Rattus norvegicus: one gene and its partners. The protein of the gene in region 1 purifies or fractionates together with the protein of each later gene. This does not show direct contact. Links are inferred from orthologs where the notes say so. Each region holds a gene or a part of one and is shown in the gene's direction. Other genes may lie near its edges. The genes, in order: Med12, Vdr, Med9 and Cdk19.

Evidence for each region.
Region 2: the proteins of Med12 (region 1) and Vdr purify together in Homo sapiens (affinity purification with mass spectrometry; 3 studies listed by BioGRID, with this or other methods). This does not show direct contact. The link is inferred for Rattus norvegicus from reciprocal best matches to the Homo sapiens genes MED12 and VDR.
Region 3: the proteins of Med12 (region 1) and Med9 purify together in Homo sapiens (affinity purification with mass spectrometry; 6 studies listed by BioGRID and IntAct, with this or other methods). This does not show direct contact. The link is inferred for Rattus norvegicus from reciprocal best matches to the Homo sapiens genes MED12 and MED9.
Region 4: the proteins of Med12 (region 1) and Cdk19 purify together in Homo sapiens (affinity purification with mass spectrometry; 10 studies listed by BioGRID and IntAct, counting the BioPlex papers as one, with this or other methods). This does not show direct contact. The link is inferred for Rattus norvegicus from reciprocal best matches to the Homo sapiens genes MED12 and CDK19.

What each region holds. Positions count from the first base shown.
Region 1 is NC_086039.1:70,443,147-70,448,689, forward strand, and holds the start of Med12 (mediator of RNA polymerase II transcription subunit 12), read left to right. Parts: upstream 1-1,663; 5' UTR 1,664-1,684; coding exon 1,685-1,783; intron 1,784-2,295; coding exon 2,296-2,400; intron 2,401-2,601; coding exon 2,602-2,793; intron 2,794-2,915; coding exon 2,916-3,075; intron 3,076-3,528; coding exon 3,529-3,710; intron 3,711-3,870; coding exon 3,871-3,981; intron 3,982-4,092; coding exon 4,093-4,347; intron 4,348-4,851; coding exon 4,852-4,998; intron 4,999-5,288; coding exon 5,289-5,388; intron 5,389-5,500; coding exon 5,501-5,543. UniProt on the Homo sapiens protein: Component of the Mediator complex, a coactivator involved in the regulated transcription of nearly all RNA polymerase II-dependent genes.
Region 2 is NC_086025.1:130,866,041-130,870,159, reverse strand, and holds the end of Vdr (vitamin D3 receptor), read left to right. Parts: intron 1-548; coding exon 549-700; intron 701-895; coding exon 896-1,012; exon of another isoform or gene 1,013-1,976; intron 1,977-2,154; coding exon 2,155-2,414; 3' UTR 2,415-3,090; downstream 3,091-4,119.
Region 3 is NC_086028.1:45,262,274-45,266,428, forward strand, and holds the end of Med9 (mediator of RNA polymerase II transcription subunit 9), read left to right. Parts: intron 1-1,048; coding exon 1,049-1,265; 3' UTR 1,266-2,715; downstream 2,716-4,155.
Region 4 is NC_086038.1:45,446,345-45,451,369, forward strand, and holds part of Cdk19 (cyclin-dependent kinase 19), read left to right. Parts: intron 1-2,279; coding exon 2,280-2,411; intron 2,412-5,025.

The sequences.
Region 1 (5,543 bases):
ATTCTGTGAAGAAGATCCCTATTTCTTCCTTTTCCTCCTCTTCCTCCTCCTTCCTGGAAGAGCCTGGTAGCTTTAGGGGGCAGGTGGCTCTCTGGGCTTTCTGTGAGTTCTGGGACAGTGTGGGCTATATGGGAAGTTCCAGGCTACCTCTGGTCACATGGTGAGATGACCCTGTCTCAGAAAAGAGAGGTGTGTGTGTGTGTGTGTGTGTGTGTGTGTGTGTGTGTGGACACATGTGCACATGCGTGCACCACACTATGTAATTTGGGCTGAAAGTGAACCTGTTATCTTCCTATGTACTGAGTTGTGGGTATTACAGGTGTGTAACACATATACTAAGTTTCGATGGCTTCCCCAAACCCTTTGGTCCTTTTGAGACAGGGTATGTGTCAGTCACTGTGTTGCTCTGTATGACCATCTGACTCAGATGACACACGGGTATTTTTTCTTTGTTCTTTTCCCTTCAGAGCTGAGGACAGATCCCAGGGTCTTGTGTTTGCTAAGCAAGCGCTCTACCACTGAACTAAAGCCCCAACCCCTGTTTTTGTTTTTGTTTTTTTTTTGTTTTTTGTTTTTTGTTTTTTGAGACAGGGGCTCTATGTAGTCCTGGCTGTCCTGGAGCTCAATGTGTAGACCATGCTGACCTCAAAACTCAGAGATTCTCGTGCTTCTGCCTGTCTAGTGCTAGGACTAAAGGTGTTTGCCATCAAAATGGTTATTTGTCTCAACAAATGGGTTTGTTGAGACAGGGTAACAGTTCATATATAGACTTGACTGTCCTGGAAGTCATTGTGTGAACCAGGCTGGCCTGTAATTAACAGAGATCTGCTTTCTTCTGTTGGGACTAAAGGTGTGCATCACCAGGTAAAGTGTTAACAAGAACAACAACAAAGGATTAGAGGTTTTGGTGCAGAGGGGCTGTAACCACCTGCAGAGATTAAAAGAAAGCGCTACAGTTTTATTGCTGCTGTCTTTTGTTTGTGAGACAGGCGCTTCACAGAGATCCGCCTGTCTCTGCCGCCTGTCTCTGCCGCCTGTCTCTGCCTCTGCTGGGATTAAAGGCATGTGCCTGGCTAGACCGGATCTTTTGTATCAGTCCAAAGGTGTTTTCTTAAAACAATAGAAGTTGCTAATCTTTACAACTGTCCTCAGTAGGAAGTTTAGCATGCCCATTATCCAGATGTGGGAACTAAGAAACGAAGTGATTTTAAGAGATGCAGTTATTAACTACACTAAAAATTCCTGACCACTTATCAGGCCAAGAACTGAGCGAAGCAACGGGAACACAGTTCCAACTAGAGCTCAGCGCTCCGGTTGCTTCCCCTATTTCAGGTCTGCGCCTCCAGCACCAGCCATGCCCGTGCATTTTTAGTGTGTGAAATTGACTTTCCCTCCTAGGGCCCAAAGCTCCCGGGCTGTGGGGCTCCGCCCCGCGCTAGCGAGGCCCCACCTACTCTGCAGTCAGTATTGTCCGACGGTACCCAGCGTCCCTCGGCAGTTTCCGGCAGTAATCGAGAGTTTCTAACGTGCCCCGCCTCCGCCACCCCCCTTCTCTCGGCCTCGGTCCTCTCTACCGCCTCCCGGCTTGCTGTCCCCGTGCTCCCTCCCGTCCTCGGCCCTCCGCCCCTTCCCTCCCCACCTCGCCTGGCCCTGCAGGCGCCTCAGGCGGTACGGGCTGGGCAAGATGGCGGCTTTCGGGATCTTGAGCTATGAACACCGACCCCTGAAGCGGCTGCGGCTGGGGCCTCCCGATGTGTACCCTCAAGATCCCAAACAGAAGGAGGTGCGTTCACAATTCCCGGTTCCCGCGGGGTCCGGGCAGGTGTTTAGTGTGGGAAGAGACACTGACAGTTGAGGGAAGGGGGGGTAAGGTTAGGTGAGAGCAAAAGTCCCAACTGGGGGAAGAGTAGAGTGGACTGGTGCCCTGCCGGAGAGTAGGGTCTGCCAGCAGTTCCGGTTGAGGAGCTCGTGGTTCAGGAGCCATGCCAGGGGTGCCCCCCTCCACACTCACTCGGGCGCTCATACACAAACCTCAGAAAGTTGTTAGGGCCAGCTTGGTGAGGTGCCTGTAAGGGAAGAGTGATGTCGGGGTTGCTCTGGGGAATGTGGAAATCTCATTGACTGTGGGGGTGAGGGTGGGGTCCAAATGAACATAAGGGCTGGGCTTTAAATAACCTCTTCTACTCAGAATCCTCTTCCTCCCTTTCTCCCTTGTTACCTTTTTCTCTGCCCTCTCCTACAACCTCTAATATAAGGCAAATGAGGGTTAGCTAAAATGCTGTTTTTCTGCCTCAGGATGAACTGACGGCTTTGAATGTAAAACAAGGTTTCAATAACCAGCCTGCTGTCTCTGGGGATGAACATGGCAGTGCCAAGAACGTCAACTTCAATCCTGCCAAGGTGAGACAACCCTGCCAGGCTGAAGGAAAAGGCTGGAAGAATCTGAGAAGGAGCAAAAGCTCTGGGTTGGGCAGACTGAAAGGGATAACCTAAATGGCAGAGTGTGTAACCCAGTGCTACCACATTGGCATTTTCACATGAGAAGCAGGACTACCTGCCTGCCTGTTCTTACTACCCTGAGATATACTGTTCTCCCTTTAGATCAGTTCCAACTTCAGCAGCATCATCGCAGAGAAGTTAAGGTGTAATACTCTCTCTGACACTGGTCGAAGGAAGTCCCTAATGAACCAGAAGGACAACTTCTGGCTGGTGACTGCAAGATCTCAGAGTGCTATTAACACCTGGTTCACTGACCTAGCTGGCACCAAACCACTCACACACCTAGCCAAAAAGGTGAGGTACTGTTTTCCCGTTCTTAAGGTCAAGGTAGTGTCTACCTATATTCTGAGATTAAGCTACATGGTGTCAGCTCCCTCGGGTACTTAGAGACCTTGCTGTTTATGATGCCCATCCAGGTCCCCATTTTCAGTAAGAAGGAAGAAGTATTTGGGTACTTGGCCAAATACACAGTGCCTGTGATGCGGGCTGCTTGGCTCATTAAGATGACCTGCGCCTACTATGCAGCAATGTCTGAGACTAAGGTTAAGAAGAAAAACACCGCTGACCCCTTCACTGGTAAGTAACTGTACACCCGGTGTACCACTGATGGCTTCGAGGGACGATGGAGCCCTAGAATAAATCTTCTCCCTAGTCTAGTCCCTGTTTCTGCATGAAGTTTGCATTCACAAGATTGGTAAGAACAAACTAATTTGACTATCTGATGTGTTCAGGTACTGGGTTATAAAGATGACCAGCATATAATTTCTACTCTTTAGATCCTACTGAAGATGCTAAGGCATATGGAGCATAATTAAATATAGAAAATGGTAAATGCCAAAAGAGTAGACAGGTGGTTCTTTGAGACTTCACTGGACATAATGATTACTTGCTTTAAGGAGGTGACATTTATCTATAGGCTGGGAGGATGAATAGAGCTAAGAACTCCGGTGATTGTGGGTGAAGGTAGGGGAGAGAGTATTCTTAGCCTAAGAATAGTACCATATAGTTCCCTTTCCATATTTTCTTTAGAATGGACTCAAATCATCACAAAGTACTTATGGGAGCAGCTACAGAAGATGGCTGAATACTATCGGCCAGGGCCTGCAGGAAGTGGAGTCTGTGGTTCTGCTATAGGACCTTTGCCCCATGATGTAGAGATGGCAATCAGGCAGTGGGACTACAATGAGAAGCTCGCCCTCTTCATGTTTCAGGTAGGAGAAAGGGCATGTTGTACATGGCATTGAGTTGCACCTTATCCTGTCCTGTTGGTATAGAACGGAATTTGCCTTTTACCTTGGCCCTGGTGTGGCTCTCTTCATTCTTCCATTTACTTTATCTGCCTTACCTCTAATAGTTCCCTGCTATCCATAGGATGGAATGCTGGACAGACATGAGTTCCTGACTTGGGTGCTTGAGTGTTTTGAGAAAATACGCCCTGGAGAAGATGAATTGCTTAAATTGCTGCTTCCCCTACTGCTTCGAGTAAGACCTATACCTAAGGAGGGACTGTTTAGAGGGTTTGAGAAAGAATCAGATATCAGAACAGTGTCTTTTGGAGAAAACTAGTGGTCTTTATTGGTCACCTCTTTACAGTACTCAGGGGAGTTCGTTCAGTCTGCCTATCTGTCCCGCCGCCTTGCCTACTTCTGTACCCGGAGATTGGCTCTACAGCTGGATGGTGTGAACAGCCACTCATCTCACGTTATATCGGCTCAGTCAACGAGTTCTCTGCCCACTACCCCAGCACCTCAACCCCCAACTAGCAATACACCCTCGACTCCCTTTAGTGACCTGCTTATGTGCCCTCAGCACCGTCCCTTGGTTTTTGGCCTCAGCTGTATCCTTCAGGTAGGTACTAAAGGGCCCAAGGAAGTATAAAGAATTGACTGCTCATCCTGGAGAATGGGGGTGAGTTCAACTTGGAGGTGGGAGCAGGCACTGAGTACCTGTTCAAGAATTAGTGTTTCTCTGTAATAGGATGCTCCCTTTTAGAGATTTTGGACATTCTCTTCCAGGACTAAGTAGTCGGCCCAAAGCTTTTTAGAAAGTGCATGAGAATCTGGGTATGATAGTGTTATGCCTGTAGTCCCAGAACTTGGAAAGAAGAGGCAGGAGGATTATAAGTTCAAAGTCAGCCTAAGCTACACAGCCAAATGAAACCTTGTCTCAAGATACTATTTTTTAAAAAAGGAGGAAGGTAAGGAAGAGAGGGGTCAGGAATGATACTTGCTCCAAGGACTTAGTTGTAATAAACCTAATTGAGATGTCAAACCTAAAGGAAAGTGGGTCTTAAGTAGGGATGTAGAGAGGTAGCAGTGGTAACTGGGTTTGATTTATTTATTTGTCTGGCAGACCATCCTCCTGTGTTGCCCTAGTGCCCTAGTTTGGCACTACTCATTGACTGATAGCCGAATTAAGACTGGCTCACCACTTGACCACCTGCCTATTGCTCCTTCCAACTTGCCTATGCCAGAGGGTAACAGTGCCTTTACTCAGCAGGTAAGTTTAACTGCTGAACTGTTACTGCACAGCTGGGATGTGTTTTATGTTTCTGTTTTGTTTTTGAGACAGAATCTTGCTGAGTAGCCTTTGCTGGCCTGAAAGTTGCTATGTGGATCAGGCAGGCCTCAACTTAATGGTGATCCTTCTGCCTCTGCCTTCCAAGTGCTATAGGCATGTACTGCCATAAGTGGTAGTAACTTGGCTACTTTTTTTTTTTTTTTTTTTTTTTTAGATTTTTACGTATCTGAGTGTTTCGTTAAAAGTTTTTTTTTGTTTTTTTTTTGCAGGTCCGTGCAAAATTACGAGAGATCGAACAACAGATCAAGGAGCGTGGACAAGCAGTTGAGGTTCGCTGGTCCTTTGATAAGTGCCAGGAAGCTACTGCAGGTGAGTGTCAGAGGACAAAAGATAAGAAAGGATGAGTGATAGGTTCATAGATAATCTGAGGCTCTGAATTCATTGAGCCTCTATTTAAGTCTCCTTTACTGTTTGTCCTCAGGCTTCACCATTGGACGGGTGCTTCATACTTTAGAAGTGCTGGA
Region 2 (4,119 bases), on another chromosome or scaffold:
AGTAGGTCCCTACGGCTCACTAGCCAGATAGTCGATCAGAAACAGCAAGAGACCCTGCCTCCAGACACAATGTTCAATCGAAAACATTGGAGATCAACCTCTGGCCTCAGAACATACACATACACGCAAACCAAAAAACACGATGGAACTCTGAAGAAGTCAAGGGCTCAGGAGGTGTCCTGGGGACAGAAATGTCTAAGGTTGCTACTGAGGAGGACTAGACAACTGGAAACACAGAAGGTGTTGACAGCAGCTCTGGCTACACCTTTTGCAAGCCTGTGTTGTGTGCTACAACCCAGGGAGCTTCCTTTAGCTGTCCCTCCCTGTCCGGGATAGCTTTGGCTATCTGTCACCGAGCTACTGGGACAGCCCTGGGTTCTCTCCCTCCAGATACCTTCTTTCCTGTTCTAGCCAGGCTGGAACCCCTTGACGGAAGAGCCAAACACATGCTGGTCAGCCAGCCGGTTCAGTCCTGCCCAAAAAAACTAACCGAGGGCCCGTGACGTGAACTGATTACCTGACTTCTCCCCGCCTGCCTTCCCTGACAGGGATCTCACCTCCGATGACCAGATTGTCCTGCTTAAGTCAAGCGCCATTGAGGTGATCATGTTACGCTCCAACCAGTCTTTCACCATGGATGATATGTCCTGGGACTGTGGCAGCCAGGACTACAAGTACGACGTCACCGATGTCTCCAAAGGTGTGGAGGGCGTCCTCCTATACTTCCTCCAGCTCCCAGACTCTACCTCTATCCTGGCACTGGACCTCTGGGGGTTTGACCAGATACGGGGAAGGGGAGTGGGCAGCAAGAGAGAGGAGGGAAGGGGTAATGCCCAGGGGGGGTTTCAGGTAGGGGTGAATGTCTCTACCTGACCCTGGCTGCTCTCTTTCACAGCTGGGCACACCCTGGAGCTGATCGAGCCCCTCATAAAGTTCCAGGTGGGGCTGAAGAAGCTGAACTTACATGAGGAAGAGCATGTCCTTCTCATGGCCATCTGCATTGTCTCCCCGGGTACGGAGCCTGGCAGGGAGGAGCTGAGGGACCTGGGACACGTTGGGGACTGTGAATGACAGAGAGCTTCTCAGAGCCAGCAGGGAAGTCTGGGGGAGGAATGAACGAGAGAAGTGACAAGGAAATGTTCACTTTGCTGGGTTTGCACAGCCCAGAAGGCCTGTGGAGGGGTCGCTTGACACATGTGGCTTTGTCTTATGCAGGCCAAGGTGATTCATAGGATTCTGAGGAACCAGATGAGCAGGGTTCCACAGCTTATTCATGGGACTTGGGTGTTCCTAATACTCAGGCTCTGTTCTTGCGTGACCTCGGATGAACTTTCCAGTCTCCTGAGTTCCTCCGATGCAGGCACAAATCCTTGGGGACTAATATATGCTTCTGCCTGAGTTGACTTTGGAGGCTGGAGGCTGTAACCCAAAGGGAGGAGACACTGAGAAGGAAGTTGTTGTGATCTTGAAGAAATTGGTGATAAAACCCAAAGAACAGAGCCCTGACTCAGCCTGGACCATGTGTGCACAGGGGACAAACTAGTGGCCTATGGCCAGGAATGCCTAGTCTGAAGGCCCAAAGGACAGACATATGCCTCCCTCCTGCTGTCTAGCTGACGTGTGTTCACTTATTCACACGCTCAGTAATGATTAACTGAGCATCTACTATGGCCAGACACTGGGCTAGGCACAGGGAGTTGCAGTAAAAAGGATAGACTTCTCTCCCATGAGAGTTAAAGGAAAACAAAATATTACGAGAATGTTGAATATGAAGATGCTGCCGGAGAGATCCTGGTATAGGTCACGGGGGCGTGGAGATGGAGGGTTACCAGGAACGACCTTCTTCAGAAAGCGCTTTGCGCCTGTTCCGTGATAACCGGTTGGTCAGGGGGGAAAGACGAGAGCTGATTTCCAGGCAACGGGGAGGTCTGTTAGCCAGAGTAGGAAGTACCTGAGTTCCAAAGCAAGGACTGAACCTAGAGACAGAAGAAGTAGGGTGAGGTGGGAACAGGACCAAATGAGCCCGCGAAAGGATTTGGTCCCAAATGCAGGGGATGTCATCAGGGGGATGCTGGCATGGGGTACCTGGGTGATGGTGGATTCTGTGAAACTGAACAGTGAACATCCTGTCTCCCTCCATCCCCTGGGACACAGACCGACCTGGGGTCCAGGACGCCAAGCTGGTGGAAGCCATTCAGGACCGCCTATCCAACACGCTGCAGACCTACATCCGCTGCCGCCACCCGCCCCCAGGCAGCCACCAGCTCTATGCCAAGATGATCCAGAAACTGGCCGACCTGCGGAGCCTCAACGAGGAACACTCCAAACAATACCGCTCCCTCTCCTTCCAGCCCGAGAATAGCATGAAGCTCACACCCCTTGTGCTGGAGGTGTTCGGCAATGAGATCTCCTGACCAGGGTGGCCCACAGTGGTGCCTGGGTAGGGCCGCTCCTCCAGAGCCCTGTGCCCAGGCCCTGGGCTGGTTGCAGCCCAGCAGTGCCTCCTGCCCTTTCTGGAGTTCAGTCCTTCCTCTGCCATGGCCTCTGTCTGTCTGCCTCATCCTTTCTCCTGCCCAGCCTAACACCTGGTCTCCCTTTCCTGTAGACCTCGAGTTGCTCCTGTCTCTTGAGACCTCAGTTAGGAGAGGCTGCTGTTTATCTGACAAAGGAACTCAATTGGGGATAGAGGGCAGGGGCTGAAGGCAGAACTCTGCCTAGGGGATGCCTCCACCACAAGGGGCTGCTGCTTGTGTCAAGGGAGGCAGGCAGAAGAGACGCATTCACTCCTCAGGGACAGGTACCTGCACCTCCCCTCACTCCAGCCCTACCTGCCCAAAGCCTGGTGAGAAATCTGGCCCCTGCCTGCGAAGGGTACACAACCTACCCATCATCCCTACTGTGTCCCGTCTCATCCTGCCGCCTGTCTGTGTTATTCTGACCCGGGGGAGTAGGTCACTGAGGGGCCTCCTTCCTCTGCCTTTATACTCACGGGGCTCACTCACTGCCAAGATGACCAAATACACTACCACACGAACCAAGGAGCACTCACCCAGCCCTGCAGTTCCCACCTTTGAGGTTTTGCCATGGGAATTCCCCAGGGCCAGTACCTGTGGTACAGGGGGCTTCTTCCCCATGCCCAGAACCAGGGACCTAGAAACCACCATTGGAAAGGCCCCAGGAGATAGAATACAGGGCCCAAGTAATGAAGAACAGAGAAAGTCAGCCTCCCAGCAGAACAATGAATGAAGGTCCATCTATCTTGGTCATCAAGCTGAGGGTTCTGAAGCCTGGAGCTGTTGGGACCTCTCCTCTATAGCTATTAGATGTGTCAGGACCAAGTTGTCCCCAACTTTCAGGAAATCCATAGCCCTGTCTCCATCCCTTACCCCGCCAGTGTTTTACCACCTACCCAAGAAAGCAGGTCCTCTGGCCTCACACGACCTCCCAATTTGACCACCAGGAGTATCCCGGGAGTCATCTTGGCAGCAGTGCCCCCCACACACACACACACCAATGAGAGCTACCTTGTCCGCCCAATAGAATGGGATGGGAGAAGACCAACAGCTGCCCAAATGGGCCTCCGAGCCTCCTTTCCAGATGTAAGGCCAGATACAAATGCTCCCCCCTCAGGGGAAAGGTGGAGGGATGGTCAGAGCTTGTGGTACAGTGATCTGGGGCCGGTTCCTCCTGACTCTCATTCTACCACCCAAAAAGTCAATGTAGGCCTACGAAATGGCCAGGTGATGGGCTAGGTTCTTATCTTTAATTTCTTCCTCTGTAGCAATCCAGGACTTTGGAACCCTGGTCTCACTCACCCCAAATACACACATTGCTGATCATGGGTTGTGGATGCGGGGGACCCATACAGAGGAGGTTCTTTTCACAGGGGGACTCATAGACGGTCCTTCAAGTGAATGCTTGACCTGAGGAATGCAGCCACGTTGGAAGCACCAAGAGAGGGCTAAGGTCAGTGGGAACAGGGCCCCACGAGCCCCGCATGTGTCCTAGCTACATTTTTCCATTCCCTGAAAACCCCGAGATGACAAATTTAACATGGAAAGAGCCATTAGTGTCCGCCTGGCCCTATGTTTCCCAGAATTCCAGTGGGAAACATCTGAA
Region 3 (4,155 bases), on another chromosome or scaffold:
ACCTCCTGCTTCCTGGCCTTGGGGCAACGCCTTTGTTCTTAGGGTTTAGGTTCTTTTGCTTTAGTTTGATAGCAAGAGTGGGATTTCTGCCATGGCTGGGCTGTGAAAGGACAGGAATGATCTGCCTTCAAAATGACATTGATCCAGAGGAAAGCATCTGCAGAGCTGTGGTAGAGGAGAACCCGCGTCTGCTGAGAATGTTCCAGTGACTTGTAGCTGGTTTAAAATGTATGGAGTTCGTTCGTCTTTCTGTTAACAGGCCCAAGCAAGCACACAACTCAGTGCCATGAAGGCCCTGCTAACTGGCAGAGCCTCCTGGTTGGCCTACAGATGGCTCAGGTCAGGTGAAATGAGTATTTCAACAGCTTGTTTATTTTTCTGTTTTTGGAAGGGTCAGCTGATGATTGGTAATGGTGATTCGTTTAGCATAGCTGTGGCCTTGCTTTCCAAGCACTCGTCCTTTTGATGTGTGGTGTTCTGGAAATGCTATTTGGTTTGCGTGTGCACACCTGGGAGTGGTGGAACAGGCAGAGGCGGGCACTTGTGCCCAGCGTTATCATTTGTCCCCTTGTTCCCTTGCACGGAACCTGAGACTTGCTGTTTCAGCCTGTTTCTACACCCCCATCCCATCCCAAGGCTGAGCTGGGTTTATATCACGTGTGTCCCTGCTTTTACATGAATGGTGGAGCTCCAAACTCGGGTTGTCATACTTGTGCAAGTGCTCTTTACCCACAGTTGTCCTATGTGTAGGGCCAGGTTGGTGAGACAGCTGTGACGAAGCCAAGTTGGTCCCTGCCATCATCGAGAATTTTAAGTATCTGACTTGTCAGGTGTGCTCATTGGGAGTGTTTTTATGAGCTTAAAGCTAAAGAACAAAACAAATAAAAGACCAATCCCTGTCTTCTGGGGTAGGTAACCTAGTAAGGGAACAGACATGTCTGACAACATTCTAAAAGTCATCAGAGGTGTAGAACAAGGAAGCCATTGTGGAAATGAGCTACACATGCTAATAACTGACTGACTGCCCTCTACTCCCCCTGTCACCCAGCATGGACAAGGACAGCCCGGATCTCCACCAGGACCTGAACGCCCTCAAAACAAAGTTCCAGGAGATGCGGAAGCTCATAGGCACCATGCCTGGCATCCATGTGAGCCCTGAGCAGCAACAGCAGCAGCTACACAGCCTCCGAGAGCAAGTCAGGACCAAGAATGAGCTTCTGCAGAAGTACAAGAGCCTCTGCATGTTTGAGATCCCCAAGGAGTAGGACCAGCTCCTAGCAAAGCTGCCAACAGACTGAAAGCGTCACACTGTGCTGTCCAGCTCCTTGGGAGCCCAGCTCTAAACTGTGAGGCCACATGTGGCTGGTGTGGGGCCTGGGTGGCTCTACTCAGCCTCCACTCTCTATGCCTTGGGCCTCATCAGAGGGAGAGGGGGTAGCTGTTCCCTTCCTCCCTGAGCTCCTCCCACTCCCACTATCAGCATGGCATCAGGTACATACTGTTCCCATCAACAGCAGTTTCATGAAGCATTTGCATAGAATTCACGGGGTAAATTAGGCCTGCACTCAGATGGCATGGATTTATTATAATTAAAGAAGGCTGTGAGAGTATGAATATTGTGTTGAAAGGCCAGAGGGTGGGTGGCTTCTCCCCCAAAACAGTTCACTTCCTTTTTTGTTTGAACAACTGAATGAAACTGTATCTCTGGGGGCGTCAGCCCAGAGCTCTGCCAACCAGCCTCCAGCTTCAGTCGCTGGCCTCCTGCATCTCGCCTCACCTTGTAGGCTCGGCTGCCTTTGTCTCCATCACTTCAGGCAGTGCTCAGAATAGCCAGCGCACTGCTTGCCCGGGGCCCTTCGTCCTTCTTCCCATGCTGGTTCAGAGAGGCGGTTAAGTAAGCGGCTCTGCCCTGATTCATGCCTCGTCCTCTCCGCTCTCACCAAGGAGTCAGCCATACTTGCTACCCTGTACATGGTCTCTGCACACTTCTAGTTTGGAGCAGAGTTGCTGGCAGGAGCAGTTGGGGGCAGTTTCTCAGCCAGGGGATGTGTGGTTTAAAGGGCATGGGGAGCTAAGTCTGGAGGTGCCATCGCTGTGTTCTACTTGTAGAGAGTGCCCAGCGAGTCCCAGGTAGCACACTGTGTTCTCTGTCTCCCAGGGACTGTTACACTGAGGGCGCCATGGCCCTTTCCTTCTCTCAGGAGGAAGGTGAGAAGTACCCAGGATTGTTTGGATCTTGAAATGGGCACAGCCTGGGCTCAGCTTAGGACTTAGCAGGTGCCTGCCAACTGGCTTTGTTGGCGGAGTGCTGGCTGGGGTGTTGTTGGCGGAGTGCTGACTGACCGGGGTGTTTTAGCAAACGTTCTGTCTGTCCAGGACGCTTCACACTTGGGACCTGGAATGTCAGTGGTTTGGGCAGAAAAGTGGACTCTGAGTTTGAATAGAGGGTGACAATGAAGCCACCTCTGCCTTGGGGCTGTCCTTTAACCCAGTCAGTTCCTTTCTGCCAAGGCGAAGCAGTGGCTGGACCAGCTTTAAGGCTCTGCCCAGTTCCTGTAAGGGCAGAGCACGTGAAATGCAGGAGCTTCGGATCTTCCTGACAGGGAAGAAAGAAGGCTTCCTCGAAGGGCTGGAGGCTCGGAGGCTTCTCTGTTCCAGTGTGTTGACCTGTCATGTTTTCACATATGTAATTAAAAGTATGTTCTGTTCTCAGGACACATGGTTTGCCTGTTGTCTCTGTCTCTCTCAGGGCTAGCAGTCAGACCCTGGGATTGCAGGTCTTTAAAATGAAGAATTAGAGTGGTGTGTTGAGTGGGTGGTGTAGAGGCAAAAATGTTCACTGCGCTCCTCCTTCCGCCCAGCATGTACATCTGTTAAATGAGCACAAAGCCTACACGTCTCCCGCAGGGGACCCTGGGGAGCCCAGCCATTCATTGTTGAGAAGTGAGTGCCTTTCTGAGATTTGAGGAGGTACAGTTCCCTGCAAGTGGCCCTTCCCAAAGCAGGGTTGACAAGACCCTTCCTCCCCCGGTCCCAAGACAATTTTGAGCATCCCCGAAGGTCAAGACCCTGGAAAAACCAAGTATTTGGCTGGGCGGCTGCAGCAGTTGTGCTGACTCCTTGGAGACCATGTTGACCCCTGCACAGAGTGCCTCGATTTCTCAGCTGCAGAATTGGAGACTTGGAAGGCGACACTTGCCCTAAGTTGACCGTAGGAGTGGCAAGGAGATCTGGGTCACAAACTATGAGCCCTTAGCCACAGGGAGTTAGGAAGGTGCAGAGGAGGTGGGCCCCACCTGCTCGAGAGCTTCTGGGAGCTGCACTCCACCCATCTGTACTTTCCCTGTCCAGGTCCTGCGGCAGCCCTGGGGCAAGGAATGAACGTTAAGTGCAGGCCTCTTCCCTGCCACACCTCTCCACCTCAGCCTCCATGTTTGTGGTAATCAAGGTTAGCGTTTCAAGTGTGGCAGCTTTCTGTTGCCTTCTATGATGAGTAACAGATGGGCTGTGTGGAGGAGAGTATGAATATTCTCTAAAACAAGGCCCTCTGTTACAGGCCAGGCCGGGCAGAGTGTAGACAGAAAGCCAGAAGGTCCCACTTGGAAGTGGGAGACCATATTCTGAAAGCCAGGTCCTTTTCCAGTTCTTGGCCACTGCCACCGAGGCAGGAAGCCTAAAAGCAAAAGCAAAGCGAAGCACCATTTTCCATTTTAAAATTATTTTATTTTAAATTAAAAAAAATAATAAAGACCTCACACAATAGAAATGTAGAGATTTTGTTCATGTCACGTTGACACTGGAACTATTAAAGTGCAAGTTTTGTGTTTTGTTTTCCTTTTGGGTAATTACACACACACACACATGTAAACAAGTTGTCTGGCTATGATTGAACCCCCACCTCGAGCCAAAGTTTCCAGTTTGCTGAGGACAGAGGTGGCTGACAGCAGTCATGGCAACACCAATCACAGACGAGATAATGCCCTGTTAGTCCTGGCCCCACAGCAAGCCGCACAGTTACTTGAAGTCTCAGAGGCCGAAGCCCTTCACACACTCTCAAAGTCTCTGAGAAAAACGCCAACTAACCCTCTGCTGGGTCCTGGCATCCCAGAATCGGAGGCGAAAGTCCCAGTCTTAGCTAGTTCTTTCCTCTCACAG
Region 4 (5,025 bases), on another chromosome or scaffold:
ATACTTCACCAACAGTGGCAACAATTAGCTACTCTCCTTATATCAAACAGTGTTCTCTCTCAGTGTTGTATAATAATAAAAATAGATGTAAAGTTGGTAAAACTATTGACTGTTTCTGTTATCACTAGAGAAATTTAGTTTTTAAGGGGTAGGCATTAGCACCGATTTCCTTGGTTAGCTTTCTTTTTAAGAGCTCAATACTCCAAAGCAGCTTCATGAAGCATTATAAATTATTCAAACTCTAAAGAAACAACATAGTCAGTTATAATTTAATGCATAGGTACTTAGTCTCAGATTAGATGATCAATTATAGTTACCTGCATTTGGGTCCCTTAAACATTCAAGATGTACTGTGTATATTATTACATTATATATTTTAAATTATAGAGATTTATCATTCTTGTGACTCTGCCTTGGTAATTTGTAATTGCCATGTGTATAACTTCTTGGCTGTCAATCAGTATTTGAAAGTCTAGGTACTAGAGGGGTTGGCTGGTGCCTTAGTTTAAGCGCCTGCACACAGGCATGGAAGACTTGCATTCAGACCCCAGCACACACATTCAAAGTAGTTAGAGTTAGGGGGTCTGCGGTTGGAAACAGAATTCTGGAACTTGTTGGCCAGCCAGCCAAACCACTGTAGAAGTGTTGAGTTCCGGGAGAGTTCAGTATGACTAACCTTTGCCTGGGGAAACACTACACACTCACCACGGATAGGGAACTCATGACAGAGTAAAGTACAATGCCACCAGAGATTAACTTCATCTCATTGGTTACTTAGCAGAATGGATGAGGGGTTGCTTATAGGAGCAGAAATGATCAAAGACAGATACATCATCAAAGCACACCTCAGTACAGGTAACAGCTCAAAAAAGCTGGAACCTGGAGCACACTGTGTAGCCTACAGGCAACTCAGTAGGTTGAGTATCCTTTCCAAGTGACTCAGTTGGTCTAAACTTCTCTCAGGCAAGTGGGCTTGTCTCTCCTTCCTCCAAGCAGCTGGTCTGGTCTCAGTCTCTTCTTTGCCCCTTTGCCTGTCTGTGACCTCAGCAGTTGTAATAGTTTATCCTTGGGAGGGAGGGGCCTAGTAAATCTGATCAGTTTTAGGGACTTCCTGAAGCTATTTTGAGTTGTTTCCCTTCTGGTTTAAGGAACTTCCCTGCTGGGGTATATATTGTTTCAATTTCTGAGGAAATGGCTAGACACTTTTTAATATGGGAAAACACCTAATGTCACCCCCCCCCACACACACACTTATCCATACTTTTAATAAATCCCAGTACTCAGGAGGCAGAGGCAGGTGGATCTCTGTGAGTTCCAGGCCAGCATGGTCTATAGAGTGAGTTATAGGCCTGTTACACAGAGAAATCAAAAAAACAAAAACAAAACTCAAAGTACACACACAAAAAAAATAGGGCTGTTAAATCAAACCATGTTTTTTTAAGTTCGATGTCTTACTATTCTTGTACAAATAATTCAACTGTGCTTTGGCTTTAGGTTCTTCACCTCAGACATGAGAAGCAAAGTACTAAGCTATGATGAAAATGCAAGGACGCTGTATGCTGTGTATAAATGCCATTTGTAAATTATAAACAAATATAAAATACTTCTTTATGAAATCATAACAAAGATCTCTAGAACCTCATAGTGTCAGTTTTCTATACCCCTAATGCCTAAGTTAGCTTTCATTTACATCTTTATTCAATGAATCACTATAGCAATTATGAATTATGTATTTTGTAGCAATTATTTATTATCTTTTATGCCTGTTTTCAGGATTGTGTACAATGTGCTGTTATAATCAACTTTCTAGGGGAAAGGTCACAATATGGCATTTTATGTTCTAGCACATACTGAACTGAGTGATGTGTAGTCAGTCTCAGGCCGGCAGGTGCACGGTCTCAGACGGGCAGGTGCACAGTCTCAGGTGGGCAGGTGCAAGTCTCAGGCGGGCAGGTGCACAGTCTCAGGCAGGCAGGTGCATCAGCTAAAGAAGGAGACTCAGTCCTAACTGCTCCCAAGAGCCAGGGATTTAAGGCTCAGGCTTAGGTCCTGCTTCTGACTCTGAACTTAAATCTTCACTCTCAGGAAGTCAATACTTTTAAACTTTAGTGTCTTGATAAGTAAATAAAGTTGACAGGATAGAAGACTCTTATCTTAATACAGATAAACAGTTCCTAACCAGCATGTAGTTTCAGAGGAAAAGTTTGCTTTGAAAAAATTAAAGGCATGGCTCTGATAGTATGTCAAACTGAGTTTTATATATTTGTTTTATTTTTCAGCTGACATGGGTTTTGCCAGATTATTCAATTCTCCTCTAAAGCCACTTGCAGATTTGGATCCAGTAGTCGTGACATTTTGGTATCGGGCTCCAGAACTTTTACTCGGTGCCAGGCATTACACAAAGGCCATCGGTAAGTGTCGCCTGCTCATGACTGTGAAGTCGTTCATAATAAAGCCGGTGCTGTGGAGAGAACATGCCCTTCTTCTTTGCTGGATGCTCCATAGCATATTGATCTGAGGAGTGGGGGCGTGAGTGAGAACTGTCACACAAAGGGAGATAGGGCAGGAGTGTTGTGCTGGAGAAAAGATTGTTTCCCAGTGTTGTAACCAAGACCTGGTACAGCCTGCCACCTCCCTTGCTGCTGTGGTCTGCAGACTGGCAGTCGGTCCAGCACAGCAGGAAGTACAGTAAGGAGGATGGCTGTGCTTGGCAGCTTGCCGGACACCAAGGAGAAGGAACTAGAGAAAAGCAGCTGTAAGCACGCGTTAGGGTTTAGTGGTCTTCCTTACAGCAGGCGCTCTGGAGACTTTCTTTTCTGAGGGCTGAAAAGCCTCAGCTGTAGGTAGGGAGCCAGGAGGCAAGATTCTCCCTCAGCTCTGGACATTTCCGTACATCAAAGAAAAAGAGAGAGCAAGGGGGAACAAACAGTAGCCGCAAGAAGGACAAGGCCTGGAAATTAATTAATTAATTAATAAGGGGAAGTGGGGGTGGGGGGAGAGAAGGACTGGGCTTCTAGTGCTTTACTTATGGGGACTTCCCTGCACATATGTAGCCAATTTTTTTTCTGCTAAGATTGTTTTCCATTGTATCTTCATTACTTTTCAATTGCTGTGAGAAAAACACCCTGGCTGTGCAACTATCAGAGAAAGAATTTAATTTGGTCACAGTTCCAGAGAGAGTTCGTGGCTGTCATGGTGTGGGGAGTGTTGTAACAGGCAGAAGACACAGTCAGGTGGAGGCAGAGAGAACTAACTGGGAATGGGGAATGGCATTCATTGGAAACCTCAAAAAGCCCACACACTGACACACTCTTTCCTACAAGGCCACACCTCCTCATCCTTCCCAAACAGTTCTACCCACTGGGGACCAAGCATTCAAATGTGAGCCTATGAGGTTATTTTCATTCAAGGTGCCATACCCACCACAGTCGATTACACATACAGTAAGTCCATGGTAAGCCAGCCTCTCACGTGCTTTTCCAGGCAGTTCTGTGTGCCCTACACACTGGAGAGCACTTTTTGAGAAGCACAATTGTAGGAAAATAGATGTGGTGGCTTGTTGCTCTTTATTTGTTTATAATAAATGTAATTGGAGTAAGTTTGAATTCAGCTATTTTTCCATGAGTAAGGAAAATTGACACTGAATTTTGTCCAACTTGCAACTCATTTGCTCGCCCAGGTAGTGAGGTTTAGCTTATGACATAAAAACTTAGGTCCTTGCCAGGTGCCAAGGAATGCTAGTACTTGGGAGGACACTGATGCAAGAAGGCTGTGTGTGAGCTCAGGGCCAGCCTGAGCTACACAGGGAGATCTCAAACTGTAGATCATCTCCAAATTAAGTCATAATATAGCCAAAGTCCTAATTATCCATTCACAGTAGAAGTTAGGGAAATTCTTAAGATAGGGAAAATGTTTGGGTTTATATTTTAAGATAGGGATATCTTTGGGTTTAAAATATATTCATAAGAACATATGAATGCATATTCACTCCTTCTCACCTTTCTCCATACCTGGTCACGTCAGAAACAAGTGTAAGTGACGTAAGAACTAGATAGGAGTACAGATTATAAAATAATGTTTACAGGAAACAGCTTCACACTGCCTGCTTTTCTGAGGTTCTTTATGCTAAATTTGTGAGGAAATCTACATTTTGCTTTTTGTCCTTTGAATAATTGGGATTTGATATGACTAGCAACATACAATACAGTCCTGACTGACAACATTAAAAACATCGAGGAGGAAGAAAGCTGATCGAGCCATTAGGGACAAGAGTGACAGAGGAAGACAGGGAAGGGTTAAAAGTAGCTGCAGGACGTTACCATACGGTGCTGATGGACATCCCTGATGATGGCGCCTTGGCCACATCACTAAGGAAGGTTAGGTTATGTTTTCTAGCCGATTATGATGGTGAGTATGGTGTGGTAGGCAGTGGTTACTGCAGGTCGTGACCCATTACCCAGAAAGCCCATGTCTGTGAAGGGACGCATCTGAATGGACAGAGAAGAGAGACATTACAGCATGGCTTCTCTTGGCAGGGTGGTTTACAACAGAGCATACTGACGTTTGTTGTAGTTAATGAATATAATTAAACCATCTGATTACTTAGTTTATCTTCAGGATGTGTTTGGCATTGTGGTACACTTTTTTTTTCTACATTTTGCCATATTCCTAGCAATATTACCTACTTTTATACTTACTAAATAACATTTCTCAAAATGGACGAATGTAAATGATGTATCTCAAAAGTTAACTCACATGCATATAGCAGAACATTGTAGGTATAGCCTTTAAAGCGTTCTAAGCTATGTCTTCAATATATAAAGCACAAATACAATGATGTATAGTTAGTAAAACGTTTATTACATTGATTTATTTTCTTATTGCTGGTGGGGCCTTGTGCATGCGGACTAACACATGTGACCAGGGAGTCACAATTGTAACCCCTTGCAAACTTTGCCTGAAGCTTTCAGTAGTGGTGAGGCAACAGCTAAAGGAGTTGCTAAGACAGAGTGTCTCACTGGGGCC